2 linked regions of the Macaca fascicularis genome follow. The protein of the gene in region 2 binds, or shares a complex with, the protein of the main gene of each other region. Links are inferred from orthologs where the notes say so. Each region holds a gene or a part of one and is shown on either strand. Other genes may lie near its edges.

Region 1 (7,544 bases), on a different chromosome or scaffold from region 2:
CAACTTGTGCCACGTCACATCGCAAAAGGGACAGAGCTGGGGTATGAACCCAGGCAGTCAGGCTCTGGAAACTGAGGTCTCAGCCTCTCCACATCACCATCTTCCAGGACCTCAGGTCGGGTCCCACCCCAGCCGACCCTGCACAACCTCTGCTCCTCGCCCTCCCTGAGTCCCAGATGCACAGCTGAACCTGAGGTGTCCCCTGGACCAAGGGTAGTAAACAGTCACCGCCACCTGCTCCTGCTCTGTGAGCAAGAGGAAGCAGAGCCCCTTGCCTAACAGAGGAAGTTCCTGGGTGGGGCACAGAGGGCCTGCCCAGGGGTTCCCAGCCTAGTCCGAGGCGCAGGAAGGGGCCACCTCCAGTGCTCCAGCTCAGGGCTAGGTGCCACCTGCAGGACACGTAACCCCCTCCCCACCCACCAGGCCAGCAGGCATCGCCCCTTTAAGCTGTAGGCAGCCGGCTGGCATGCCCAGCAGGTGAGTCAGCACTCAGTGCCCGCTGACTCACCGCCGGAAGCCTCCGCTGCCCCGGCCTTCTCCTCACACAGGCCAACTGAGAACTTTGCTCCCTTTGGGCCCTGGGCCATGGGTTGGCTGACAGAGAGTTTCCTGTGCGTCACAAGAGGGGTGGGGGAAGTCCCCGAGGTGCCACCTCCAGTCTTTCCGACAGCCGGGGGATGGGGGATGGCCACAATAGGCAGGGCTAGGATACAACAGTGCTCCATGAAACCTCAGTGACCCCATTGGGCAGTCAGGAGTCCTACAGCCACAGTCCAAGCTGTGTGAAGATTAGCCATGAAGTGCCCCCACAGGTGGCACTCTTAGGGCAGAAGGGGCAGAACCCACGTTCTGAATGACAACAGGACACACATGGTACCCTCCAAGGACAAATGTGGCTTGCACACATGCCCCCACCCACTGGCCCCAGCGCCGGCCACTTGGCCTCTGATCCCAGCCAGAGATGGCCATGTGGGCAAGAAGGCCAGGGGAAAACCAACAGAGCTGTGGGCCTGAGGGCCTCACACGCTCACGGAAAACTCCCCAGGCCCATGGCAGGAAGGATAGGGCAGGGTACCTGCTGCAAGGCAGGAAGCTCAAAGGTAAAGCTCCAGTAAGGTCAAGCGCCAGCCACTCCCTGCTTTGTTCAAATTCCTTTGAGAAGGTGGAGAAGGGCTCAGTGCTGGGAGGCCCAGTGCCCAGGATGGGGCAGGCACGGGGTGAGGATCTCCACCTGTGGGAGCAGTTCGGCTACTCCATCCAAGCTCAGTTCTGCATCTGTCAAATGAGTGGGATTTTGCAGCGAGTATGCAACAGGCCCAGTGTAAAGCACTGTGCACAAGAGCAGCAGCACCTCTGCCTCAGTCTGTCCTCTAGGTCTGACATGGCCATGAGGACAGGCCCACTGCACATGCTCTGAGCAAGGCCAGGGGTGGGGGCACCCCACCAGCTCAGCTCAGGCATCCAGCATGGGAGGGGCACATAAGGGAGCACGGAGAAGGCCACTGTGGGGATGCAGTCCTAGGGGGAACCCTAGCTCCGCCTGTCACAGCTGCGTGGCCTCAGGCAAGGCACTTAACGCCTCAGTTTCCTTGTCTATAAATGGGGCTATGAGGAATAAATGAGAAAATGCATGGCACATGGAAAAAAAGAAGAAGCTCATAGCGTTTTTGGTGAAGGGCATTGCGGCTCTGTCACCACATCCTTCCCCAGATCCCAAAGAGACTACAGGGTCGCTGGGCCTGAGGGAGGTCCCTGACCCTCCATCCAGCTCCCTCAATTTCATCTGCGACCTGGGTCCCTATCTAGAAGTTCATCTTGGCCCTCTCACAGCGTTCTCACCACATCTATGACCCCTCTCCCTTCACAACTCTGCAACTGGAACTTTTATTTTGATCAGGCATTCTCTGCCTGGAGAGCTAAAAAGCCTCCAAAACAAACAGGGCTTCCTACCCTTCCCCAGGCTCTCCAGAGTGGAGAAGTGTCTGATTTCCTGGTTCCCAAGCTCCACGAGGTCTGGGCAGTGCAAGTCCCTCCCCAGACACCTCCCCCCTCAAGTGCCTCCTGAGTTACTCACAGTGGTTGGGCAATGGTCAGGGATCCGGCCTCCCACTTATGTAAGGCATAATTATCCTGCCCACCCGGCTCCAGCCACCACAGCAGCCAGCAGCAGGGGCCAGGAAGAGCCCGTGCCCTCCCCAAGCCCCCACAGGGCTCCCACTGGCCTGCGCCCTCCAGAGCAGAAGAGCGGCTGATCCCCGATGAGGGGCCCACTAGGTGCCCGCTGCTAGATGCTTCCTCCTGCTCACTCTGCGGCTGCAGTTCCAGCAGTGGAGGCCTTTCCAGCAAGAAGAATGGAAACAATAGCGAGATGTGTGCAGCCAGTGTCCCCTGGTGAGCACCGGCTCTCCGCCAGGCGCTATGCTGAGTGAACACCTCAGAGCTCTTTTGTATTCACCACCCCACGCCACACTCCCGCGTCCACAGAAGCAGGTGTGATTACTTCCAATTTACAGAAAAGGAAACTGAGGCCCAGAGACACCAGGGAGCTTGCTGGGGTGAAGCAGCTGCAGGTTCAGCTAGGCAGGAGGCAGCCCATTCATTACGGCTACGTCCGGTTTGGAAATCTCTCACACAACCCAGCCTACTGAAACTCCGACGCACCAAAAACATCCTTTCCTCTTCCTGAAAAAAAAATTCCCCTTTTGCCCTCCGAGTCTCATCCTTCCCCCTCCGCATGACAAATCCTGCTGCTGCTGCCACCTCACAAAAATTTCCAGGAAGGCCAGCTACTTGGAGAAGAGCAAATCCCTTGCACAGCCAGCACCCTGGCCTGGCGGTTGGCCCAGATCCCAGGCAGCCAGGAGAGGAATAAGATGGGGTGAGAACCCCAAGTGCAGGGAGAAGCTTGCAACTCAAGACAGAGAGAAGCCAGTAGAGAGGGGGCTGTACCTTAGGGAGGGGTGGGAGGACAAGGGAGGTTCCTGGGAGCACAGGGCTGCAGGACAGGGTGCAGGCCAGCCAGGGAAGGGGCAACATAGGGCCTATAAGGATAAGAAGAGCTGGAGGAGAGAAGGACGGGGAGTTCCGAGCTGGGGTGTAGCCAGAGCACCCGCATAGCGGGTACAGTGAGGTCCGAAACAACAGAAGCACTCTGGGGCCCAGATGGAGACTTAAGTTAAATCCCAGCCTGGATACAGCCCTGGGACCCCAAGTTGGAAATGGGAGTGGGTGCTGCCCAAGGACGCAGATGGAGGCCAGTGTGAATCTCACCTGGGTCCCTCTGAGGGAGAAGACTGAGAGAGTTCCTGTCCAGGCTACAGCCATAAGGCCCAAATGAGGTCAGAGTGAGGCTCCTGACTTGGATGGGGTGAGCAGAACAAAGTCCTAGTCTGGGTCCAGCCTGGGTGATCTCGGGCCTGAATGCAGTCCCAAGGCCTAACCTGGGGGTCCAGGTGAGGACCCAGGCTGCGGCCGGTCCCGGGGCCCCGAACAGGAAGGGGTTCCGGGACCGGACGCCGCTGCCAGGTCGAGAACAGGATGGGGTGGGACCAAAGAAATTCGGTCGGGGTTTGCAGCCCGGCCCCAGATTGGGCGCGGGGTCAGGCCGAGGTTCCGGCCGGGATCGCCTACCTTTGGACTGGGGCATGCTGGCGGGCTGGCTTGAGGCGGGCGACTCCATGCTGCAAGCTGGTCCTGGACGGCGGTGGGGACTAATCTAGAGGACTGCGGGCTCCACCGGGGCCGAGCACGCTCATGGCTGCGGGCAGACGGCCCGGGCCAGGCGGAGGAGCAGAGGCGGCGGCGGCGACTACTGCAGGGACGAGTCCGCGACGGGCGGCGCCGGAGCCAGACTGGGCAGCGCCGGGGGGACCCCGGCCGAACGGCGCTGACTCAGGCCCCGCCCCTGCGTGTCCGATTGGCCCTTTCGTTTCCAAGGCCCGTCCCCTGCCTATCAGACGCCGGTCTGTCCCTGCCTGTCAATTACACGCCCCACCCTCCGTGGGCCCAGGATCCGGGCCCCTCCCGCTCTCTGTCAAGTCTGCCAGCCGCCCGAAAAACCCAAGTCCGGTCAGGCTCCGCCCACCTGGACTAAAGCCGCGCCCCTCGCGCTGCCCGTCAACACGCAAGCCCCACCCACTCCCGGGACCCACTGAGCCCGCTGCTCCTTGCAAGCGCCAGGCTCCGCCCAGCACCCCCAGACGCGCAGCCCCGGCGGGTGCGATGAGTGGGCGCGTTCTCCCGGGTGCGTCGTCTGGAAAAAACCCGAGATCCCTAAAGGTGGCACGGCTGGGCCTGGCGAGGCGGGCGGGGGTTAAAAGTGCGCTGCTGGGCTGCCTCCTGGCTCTCTGAACCTGCAGCTGCCTCACCCCAGCAAGCTCCCTGGTGTCTCTGGGCTTCAGTTTCCTTTTCTGTAAATTTGACCCGGGTTCAGATGCGAGTCGGCAACTTTGTAGCGGAACTAGCCTTGGTCAGGTCGTGACACCTGAGCCTCAGTCTACGCATCTGTGAGCGGGCGGCGGTGACAGCCGTCTGACGGCGCTGCCCGCTGACACGCACTGAGGGCCCGGCGCCAGCAAACGTCCGCCCGCGCCCGCGCTCCAGGCGCCCGGCCAGGGCGCGGGGTTGGTGGTGAGCTCAGCGATGCCCGGTGACGAGGCAGCACGAGGAGTTGTCGTGGCTGGTTGTTGCTGCCCCTGTTCTACACCGGGGGAAACTGTCTCAGAGGGAGTGAGGCAGCATGCGGTGCATTTTATCCCACGAGCCCGGAGGCCCCATCCTGGCTCTCTCCTGGACCTTGGTTCTCTCCTCTCCTCCTAAGATCTCAGTCTGCCCATCTGTATAATGGCTGGATGGACCAGTCCTCTCTTTGCTCCCACACGGAACCTTGGGGGATTTCAGGAACCGCTGACCAATCTGGCGCTGGGATCAGATGACTCTGGATGTAAAGTCAGGGCTAGTGAAGGCAGAAGGTACCAGGCAAAGGTCAAGGGGTCAGCCCCTGGCCTCCAGGCAGACATGAGTGTGTACCCTGTCGGGGACCTCACGTGAGGGAAGCAGATTCCACCACCTGCTAGAAACGCTTGAGGCCGGGCCTGACCTCTGCTTGCCCAGGTGTAAAGTGGGGGTGATGCAGGGCCCCATGCACACAGAGCGGGGAGGGCCACATGAGATAGGAGGGAAGCCTTGCAGCCGTCACCATTCTCTTCCTGCGTCTCCTGTTCACAGGCAGTGGGATGGAAAATCATGAGTCTGGGGCTCAGACAGGTGTGAGTTCCAATACCAATTCCTCCACTTACTAGCTGGATGTCCTTAAAGAAGTCACTGAGCAGCTCTGTGCCTCAGTTTACCTATCCCATGGGGACAAGAAGGTCTCTGAAAGCATTTCATGAGTTCAGGAGTGGGAACACCTGGCCTAGGGCCTGGCCCTCACTAAGTGCCCGGGAAATGTGAGTTCAAAAACACTGTTGGCTGCCTCCATCCTGGCCGTATCATCCCTGGTGACCTGCGCTTATCCATCCATAAAATGGGCATCCAGTAGCAGTTTCCTTTCTACCAGAACTGAAAGGCTGGTCCAGCAAGTTTTCTGGATTCAGGCACCGGCCAACAGCCTTGACTTCTGCTCCCCGACACTCTGCCTTGTGCACTCTGCTCCTTGGGATGTTCAAGAGTCTTAGTGTTGCCCCTCAAATGTGCCAGTGATGGTCCTGCTGCAGGAGCTTCACCCTTGCTGCTTCCACCCAGAACATTCCTCCACTCAAGCCTCCTGGGGCTGGTTCCCTCTCATCCCTCAGACTGCCTCCTAAATGAACACGCCTAAGAAGCCTTCCCATCAGTTTGGGGACCTTCCCTTCCCAGGTCCCCAAACTGAGGCACAACACTCATGCTGCTGATGCCTTTGTCACTGACTCAGTTTTTAACACAGCTCTCCCTCCAGACCATCTGCGCCTCATTCCCTGCTGTGTTCCCAATGCACAGCCCAGAACCAGGTACATAGTAGGTGCCTGATAAATATTTGAGGAATGAAAAAAGGAAGGAGGAAAGCATCCACAGACCAGGGTGAAGCGACTCCAGTCCCGTGCCAACCTCCTTGGCAGCCAGATGACTCAGACGGGCCCTTGCAAACAAGCAGTTTGTAGATTAGTCAGGAGCCCGATAAACAGCCCAGGAATCACAAAACTCCATGTGAGTGCTATAAATAGATGCATGAGCAAAAGTCCCAGTAGGGTGCCTGGGTGATGCAGGCATCTCCATCTGGGTGCGGTCAGGGAAGGCCTCTCAGAGGAGGTGATTTTGAGACTGGAACTTTAAGGACCAGTAGGAGCTTGCCAGGCAGAGAGGCAAGAAGAGCATCGCTGGAAAGGAACAGCAGAGGCAATGGGTTGGAGATGTAAAAAGGGCCACACATGAGGACAGGGTGAGGGGCCAGACTGGGATGCACAGCTGCATTGCTGCAGCTCAAGAAGTACGATCAAGGACCATCAGAGACAAAGGTCTCTTGCCGGCTTGCTATAGTGACATCTCTTGATTTCTTTCTGTCTGTAAGTGGCACAGTAAGGCTGGGGAACTCCATGACCATGCAGAAATCAGAAGAAATGTTTGACATGGGTCACAAGAGGCTGCCTCTTACCTTGACTCCTAGGAGAAAAGTCCCAAACCCGCTGTCTGCGGATGCAGGAAACTCAGTCTCTGGATGGGAAGGATTGTGGCCAAAGTCAGGATGCAAGCATGATCTGAGGTGGACAGGACCTGGGGTGACAGAAGGCTCTAGAAAGAGGCTGACTCAATAGCATTAACTATAAGTTTTGTGCTTCCAAATCACTTTTGGGTTTTTAAGAATTTCTTGATACTCTTAGAGCCTGCTTTCGATTTTGATCCTTTAGTCTTTCTATTTGTCAGGTGCACGAGATTACCTTCCTTTTTTAGCCTTTTGTCTTGTCACCAACCATTCGTACTTGGTGGCCACATACTTGGAAAAAGGCCGCATGATCTTTTTGGCTCCACTCAATGTCTACGACACCCTGCTTCCTTTGCTTGCACCCCACAGACTATTTCCCTCATCCTATTTACTGCAGCAAATCTCTCCTTAGTTGATGACATTGTGTTTATCTCCCTTTAAAACCCTACCTATCCTGAATGGTCTGTCATTGTCTGCCTTTAAAATCCTTCCTCTTTCTTCTTCCTCTATTCTCTAAATAATGATGGGGCTAAGTTATACCCAAAGCTCACTTTACAAAATATTTCCTTGGTGCTTTGCAGAAAATACCAAACAAAAATGCCATTTTAAAAGAGCTGTATTTTTTCTTTTAGAATGTAAGCTCCTCAAGAGCAGGGACAATGTTTTCTGTATGTTCTATTTTGCCTAGTACACTGTAAATGCTCAATAAATATTGATGATGGGAAAAAAAGAGAGAAAGAGAGAGAGGCTGACCCAAGCCCAGGATGTGGGCAGCTCCTTCATTCATTCAACAGGTATTCGTTGAGCACTTACTTGTGTGACCGGCACTGAGAACACAACATTGAACAAGATGGGCACAGCTCCCTGG
Region 2 (7,444 bases):
CAATGTCACCCACAGAGTTGTAGTCCAGCTGCAGGGCCACGGGCTGCCTGAGGTGCCGCAGCACAAAGGCCAGGGCAGCACACTCCGCGGGGCCCACACTGCAAAATGTCAACTTGAGGTGCCCGACATTCAGGCCACGTGCAGCCTTCCGTGCTAGCCGCTCCTCCTGCATCTCGTATAGGCTCCGGATAAGCCAGATGAACCCGGGCATGGCGTGCATGCTCTTGGCCTCACCCGGCGCAGCTGGCGGGATGGAGTGGAAGTGCTTGCGGAGGCTGCGGGCCAGACACCAGCGGGCACAGGCCTGGCGCCGGAGCAGGGCCTTCTCAGATGCCTGGCACTCGGCCAGCAGGTCCCAGTGCTCCCGGGACAACAGCCCCGCCAGGAAGGCTGCCGTGATCTGAAGGTTGTGCGGCTCGGCCTTCTGCAGCAAAGCTGCCACGCTGCCGTCCTTTCCCTCTGAGCCCTGGATGCACAGCGTGGGCAGGAGCCTGGCCATCGGTGAGTTGCCGGGCCTGCCACAATTGAAGAGGTGTCTGAGCAAAGCTGGTGACACATCAGCACTGAATGCCAGGTAGAATGCAGCAAAGAAGCACTGGAAAGTGATGTGCAGGAATTCCAGGGGCGCCGTACTCCCTGGCATGACACCTTTGGCACGCACCAGGAAGCCAAGAGAAATGTCATCAGGGCTGACCTGTGCTGCCTGGAGCTGCTGGGCTGAGAACACGTAGCAGCACATGCCCAGGCCCCACAGGGCTAGTCTGCCCAGGTGCAGAAGGGTGGGGAGACGGCCCCGAAGAAGACTGGGTCCCAGACCCTGGGAGGCTGAGTCTGGGGAGGTGGCATGCAGCAGAAAATGCTGCAGGATCAGCAGGTACATATCTGTAGTGGTCTTTGGGGACACCCCCTCCTGCAGCAACAGTTCCTGGTGGCATTTGGACACCATCCACGAGAAGACAGGAAGGTGGCACAAACCGTGCAGGGCTGAGGTCCCTTGGAGCAGGCGGATGAGGCGGTCTGCCACCCCAGGCTCACGATGGCGCTTCCTCAAGTACAGCTCGATGCCCTGTTCAGAGAAGCCCTTGAGGTTGAACTCGGTGCGGATGTACTTCCTGAGGAATGCTGACACAGCGGCTGGACGGCTGGTCATCACCTTTCGGGCATTCTTCAGCAGGTTGCCCTGCAGAAGGTTGAAGAGCAGGGTCTGGACAGAGGTGGGGTCGGTCGGGGAGCAGTGACGCTCATGATCCGTGAACCTGAACTTGAACTCATCAAAGCCATCAAAGGTTAACAGGACACGGTCAGGGTGGTCAAGGAGGAACTGGAAGATGTCCTCTTGATCAACATCAGGCCAACAGCAGTGCTCAAAGAGTAGTGTCCGCACGGAGAGTGGTTTGGCCACGCACTGCAGCTGCCGGCAGCTGAATGGGAAGACAAAGAGAAATTCCTGGAAGTCTCGCCCTGCAGCCCACAGCAAGTGGAGCCGCTGCAGGAGCGTGCTCTTGCCGCTGCCCGCCTCACCGACCACCAACACGGTGTCTGCATCGTCGTTGAGGTGGCTGCGGGTGCTGAAGAGCTCCTCCAGGCCCAGGGTGGCCGGGCTCTTCTGCGGGGGTCCAGCCATGCCCACGTCTGCCCAGACCTCCAGGCCATTCTCTGTGTATATGTCCTCCAGGCAGAGCGTCTCTGCCCCATCATAGGTGCTGAGGAAGCGAGCCTGAGCAGACACCGTGGTCCTCAGCTTGGCCATGTACTTCCTGCATGTGGCAGCTGGAAGGCAGAAGAAGAGGCAGATGAAGGTGGCACCATGGTGAAGAGGGGACCTAATCAGACAGTGGGCTGCTGTGGGGGAAGCTGACATAACTGAAGGGATAGGACAGCCAGCAAGCGCCCATCCTGGCTCCTCCATTCACAAGCTGTGGACTTTGAGGACAATCAAGGAAACTTCCTAACGGTCAGTTTCCACCTCTGTAAGGTGGGAGAAATGTTGATCTCTACCTTACAGACTTTTTACACGGATCAACTAAGATGACGTATGTCAAGTGCTCAGCACAGTGCTCAACACAAAGTAAGTCCAAAGACATCAGTGACTGCCGTTATCATTACTCACACCAGGAGGAGTTGTAGATGATGGGAAGGGGCTCTAGGCTGGGATCAGAAGACCTGTATTCTGATATCTGTCCTGCCATAATGGCCAGGTGGCTTTGGATAAATCCCTTCACCATTCACTCTCAGTTAACTTTTTCTAAGGGGAACAAAGGGCTTCAGGGCTCAGGAGCCCAGTCTCTGAAGTCTGACACACCGGAGCGTGAAAACCTGCGTCCACCACACACTTGGGCAAGCCATTTAGCCTTTCTGGGCCTCAGTTCTCTCATCTGTAAAAATGGGGACAATATACACCTGGAAGGATTGTTTCAGGAGGCAGTGAGATAAAATAGAGTTTAAAAGAATATCTGACATGGCAAACTCTCAAAAAATGGTGCTTATTATCATTATTATTCATGGCTATAGTAGGCACAACAATAGACCCTCGAAGATGTCCGTGTCCCGATCCTCAGAACCTGTGAATATGTTACCTTATGTGGCAAAAGGAACTCTGCAGATGTGATAAAGTTAAACTTCGAGATGGGGAGATGAGCCTGATTGATCTGGGTGGGCCTAGCAATAGAAGGCCTCGGGGTCACCAGGGTGCCCCAGCTGAGCACTAGAATGAGAGTCTGTGATCCTGCCTCCACTTCCTCATCCTCCCCATGCACCCCATGCAGGGAGAGTTTTCATGCACAGGGTGTGTTTGGAAGGCTACTGCTCTTCCTTTCTCATCCTGAAAGCAATGCGAGCGAGCCATTTCCTGTGTCAGGGTTTAGTTCCCCTTTCAGGAAACGGGGAAGTGCTGGTTTAGAGTCCCCGGCTGGTAGGAACTCAGCACGGTCCCCCGCCATCACAGCCTCACTGCCCCCAACCAAACACTGGCCCACTTATTTTCAACCCAAAAACTAACAAGTAATTTTCAGAGAGCTCTGAGCTCACTGACGACTATCTGCAGTCACACAAAGGGGACGCCCTGTGTTTACGTCACCTCTGTTGTTCCCAGAGTTGATGATTATTGCTGAGCTTTCTGCCCTCTGAATACACCAGGATCCCTGAACTTAGACCATAAGGTAAATATCTTCCTCTCCAATACATATCAGATATATATCTTCCTCTTCCGACCTGATTTCCAATGCAGGCTTTCCAGCCATCACCAATGATACTAAAATTCTCCGGAAAAAAAGAAAATGTCATTTTATAGAGAAATAAACACACCTTTAGAAGTGTGGGGAATCCTGCACCCTGGCCTGGTCTTACAGTGACCAGCTGTGCTTGATGATATCAACGGCAAACCTCAACCAAGGGCCAAACCAGGCCCCGCGCTCCATGCTGCTCAACCCCCCTGTGGTGCACTGATGTTTAGATCCCGTTCTTTGACGAGACAGTGCACTCGCGAGTGCCAGGCACAGACTTACAGCCACCCCTCCCACAGGTTTGCTTGCTGCCCACAGGGCAGGGCCCAGGGTGATAGACCCAACTGCCAGCACCACGCACAGCTCAGGGAGCTTCAGTGCCAATGAGCTTTCCCTACAGTGGTATAGGAACAAGCCCTAAAGAGTGCCAGACTTTTGCACCCTCTCTTTACAACTGACATTTCTTCTCCCAAGAAAAGAGAAAGTGTAGGTGGGGACAATTTACAATCAGACCCATCTCCCCCTCCCTTGTCACTTAACCTCCCTGCCCAGTTTCCACATCTATAAGGTGAAAAAACCACCACCTACTTCTCAGGGTTGTTGCAAAGGGTAGACATTGTCCATAAAGCACCCGGCAGGATGCCTGGTATGTTCAAGAGGTGCTGTCCAAGCTCCTCCTGTTCCTGAGTTTGGGTGGTGACCCTGGGCACTGAGGGATACCAGAGTCTCTAGATCCACTTGGTTCTTGAGTTTCCGATTGTGAGCTGCTAAATTTCAGAGATCAAGAGGTACCAGCCCTAACTCAAAACGCGTGTCCGTATCTTTTTGGTACAGATAACGAGAGTTTGGATGGTAAGTAACACCTTTAGTTAGCCTTCAGCATATGGTAGCTCCAATTGTCAGTGTACTGTGTGGGAGATAATGAAAGCTAATAGCTAACATCACACGCTTTTGTCCTTTTAATCCTCCTAAAATTGCAATGAGATAGGGGGTGGTGGTAGCCTTAAAACAAGGAAACTGAGTCACATGGAGGCTACACTGCCAGCATATGGGACGCTAACCGAGGTGTGTTCTACTCTTAACCATGGATCTGCACTGACTGCCCTTCCCTTTCTGATTAACTGAGAACATATACCTACCTTCCAAAGGCAGGGCCAACGGGACTGGTAATTCCTGAACATGTTGTAGAAGGAAGGCGGCCAATCCATTCGCTTTCACTGTGGCAAGATCGAGCAGCCTTCTTGCCTACGGGAAAGACAGAAGACATTGTTCCTCCAGGAAGGCTGATGGAGCAGTGTGGGAAGGCTTACTGATTACTACAACTTCATAAGCATCTCTCTTCTGTCCAGAATAAAAGGTCAGAAAAGCAACTGAACAACCACAGAAGTTTCAAGTCGTTAATAGTGTTGGATGGTGAATTGAACACACGCATCCAATCTGGCTCCTACCCAAAACTCACTGAAACAGTGAATAACTGAAAAATAAATGAAACAACATGAAGACATAAACCTACAAAGATAGGGAAAATGATTCTGTAGGCTGTACACCATTTGGAAGAGAAGTGATTTCATCAAGTCTCATGGATTGAATATTTGAATACAATCTCTGCTCAGACTCCCACATCTTCATCTCCAGCCTGAACTGTCCCCCTGAACCCTGGACTTACGCATCCAACTGCCTAGTTTCCATTTCCACTTAAAAGTTTCATAAACACCTCCAACATATTCAAAACTAAACTCCTAACCTGCCCACGCACCTGCCAAACCAACAGCCTTCCTCATCTTGGCTAATATTAACCCCATTCTTCCAGGTGCTCAGCCCCGAAGTCGTGGAATCACCCTCGAAGTCTCTCCTCTGTAATCTGTCAAATCCTGTTGACTCCACCTTCAAAGCACGTCCCAAAGAGCACCGTCCAACAGAAATAAAATGCAGGGCACAAATGCAAGCCGCATGTGGAATTTCAAATCCTCTAACAGACATATGTTTTAAAGTTAAAAGAAATAGATGAATTCACTTTAATCATATATTCTATTTAACCCACAATAGTCCAAACATTACCATTGCAACATGTAATCCATGTAGAAAATAGCAAAATATGGCCGAGCCTGGTGGCTCACGCCTGTAATTCCAGCACTTTGGGAGGCCAAGGCAGGCGGATCCCCTGAGGTCAGGAGTTCCAGAGTAGCCTGGACAACGTGGTGAAACTCCATCACCACTAAAAATACAAAAAATTAGCCAAGTGTGGTGGCATGTGCCTGTAGTCCCAGGTACTCAGGAGACTGAGGCAGGAGAATCACTTGAACCTGGCAGGCAGAGATTGCAGTGAGCCCAGATCACACCACTGCACTCCAGCCTGGGTGACAGAGCGAGCCTGGGTCTCAAAAAAAAAAAAAAAAAGAAAAGAAAAGAAAAGAAATAGCAAGGTATTTTTCATTCTTTCTTTCATATTAAGTCTTTGAAATCTGGTGTGTATTATGTGCTTATGGAAATTCCATGTGGACCAGCCGGGTCTCTAGTGCTCAAATGCCATCTGTGGCCAGTGTCTACATACCAGACACACAGCTAGAGAGCCCTGCCACTTCCTGTCACCTCCTCTATACCATCCTCCTCCAACCCACAATCCCTGCTCACCTAGAAAGCTGCACAGGCCACAAAATTGGTCCCCCTGCTTCTGTTCCTGCCCCCACAGCCTAGCCTTAATGCCACAGACAGAGTCTAATCCGTTACAAACAAAACTCAGGTCACATCGCTCCTGTACAAACGTCCCAATAACATCCCTATTTCCTCAGAATAAGAGTCCAAGTCCAACAGTAAACTTCAGGTCCCAAAACAGACAAAAATACCTGTCTAGAACCATGTGGACCCAAGTTTCTCCTTTCATGCCCCCTATTACTCCACTCAGCATCCTGGCCTCCTGTTTCCTAAAACTACCAGGCATGCTCCTGCCTCTGGGCCTTGGCTCTGGCTGTCCCCTCAGCTTGGAAGCCTTCCTCCAACCATCCATGTGGCTAATTCACTGTCCTCCTTCAAGTCTTTACTCGAATTTCACCTTCTAAGTGAGAACTCTGACTACTCTATTTAAAATTGCCATCATTTATCCCCTTCCCAAACTCTCAACTCCCAAACCCATTTTACTTACTTTCTACAGCACTTATCACCTTCTAGCACACTCTGTAATTTCCTTCCTTTGGCTTATTGTCCCTCTCCCCTTACTGGAGTGTGCGTATTTCCAGGACAAAGATTTTTGTCTATTTTGTTCACTGAGGTATCCCCAACACCTAGAAGAGTGTCTGGCACAAATCGGGTGCTCAAGGACTTGCTGAATGAACAAATGGTAATGGACTGGGGAGACTCCTGAAAGTCAAATCTTAATGTCAAAATGAGAAAGTTGAAAACCATGCAGTGTGTATCCTAGAATCTGTAAAGGGCTCTGGAATGATCAGCATGAGGGACCTCCGGAACTGGAGGAAATGACTAAAACAAGGAGGACTGAATCAAAGTGTTTTCTGAAACACATTTCTGGTTTATCCCCAGGCAAAAGTCTGTGGTCTACTCAGACAACTTGATTAACCCAGGAGGCAAGATCTAAAGATATAAACACTGTCATTTCCCAAAATGTCTACAGTGAAATTCATGGTAGACAAGTTTCACCCACGTGCTCAACAAGTTTTAAAGTCCTACCTGTTAGTCTTGAGAAAGAAAACCAAGGAGTATCATGAGCTCACAGAAAGCATCTAATGTGGGAGATAGAAGCCAAACAAGGGAGGAAGGGGAAAGCTACTTGTAGAAAAGGTTTACATAGGGTCAAAAACAGTCAAACAAACAAACAAAGAACCCACCTATCTTATGATCCTTAAGTCAAAGAAGATGTTGCATCCATAAAACAAGAGTAAGATACTACAAAAAAGAAACAGTCAAACCTACCTCTTGCACACTAAAATCATGACATCAAAAATGAAAAATTCAAGAGTTTAAAGATAGAGTTGTGACTATCATAGAAAAGTAGATCAAAAAGACACAGAGATGGAAAATAGAAGAAAATTAAATGAGCGGTCAAGGAGTTCTAACATTGAAGTAATAGTAGTTTCATAAAAAGAGAAGAGATAAAATGGAGAGGAAGAAATCACCTATAAACTAATCAAGAACATTTCCCAAAACATAAAGACAGAAGTTTCCAGATTCAAAGTACCTCTTGGGTGACCAACACAACGGAAGAACACCAA

Evidence for each region. The genes of interacting proteins can lie anywhere in the genome.
Region 1: NOD2 (region 2) and MAP2K3 share a complex: the UniProt entries of both Homo sapiens proteins name them as parts of the signaling complex. The link is inferred for Macaca fascicularis from reciprocal best matches to the Homo sapiens genes NOD2 and MAP2K3.

The regions. Positions count from the first base shown.
Region 1 is NC_088390.1:20,709,878-20,717,421, reverse strand, and holds the start of MAP2K3 (dual specificity mitogen-activated protein kinase kinase 3), read right to left. Parts: upstream 3,854-7,544; 5' UTR 3,680-3,853; coding exon 3,631-3,679; intron 3,498-3,630; exon of another isoform or gene 3,271-3,497; intron 556-3,270; exon of another isoform or gene 1-555. UniProt on the Homo sapiens protein: Dual specificity kinase. Is activated by cytokines and environmental stress in vivo. Catalyzes the concomitant phosphorylation of a threonine and a tyrosine residue in the MAP kinase p38.
Region 2 is NC_088394.1:46,664,561-46,672,004, reverse strand, and holds part of NOD2 (nucleotide-binding oligomerization domain-containing protein 2), read right to left. Parts: intron 4,467-7,444; coding exon 4,361-4,466; intron 1,771-4,360; coding exon 1-1,770. UniProt on the Homo sapiens protein: Pattern recognition receptor (PRR) that detects bacterial peptidoglycan fragments and other danger signals and plays an important role in gastrointestinal immunity.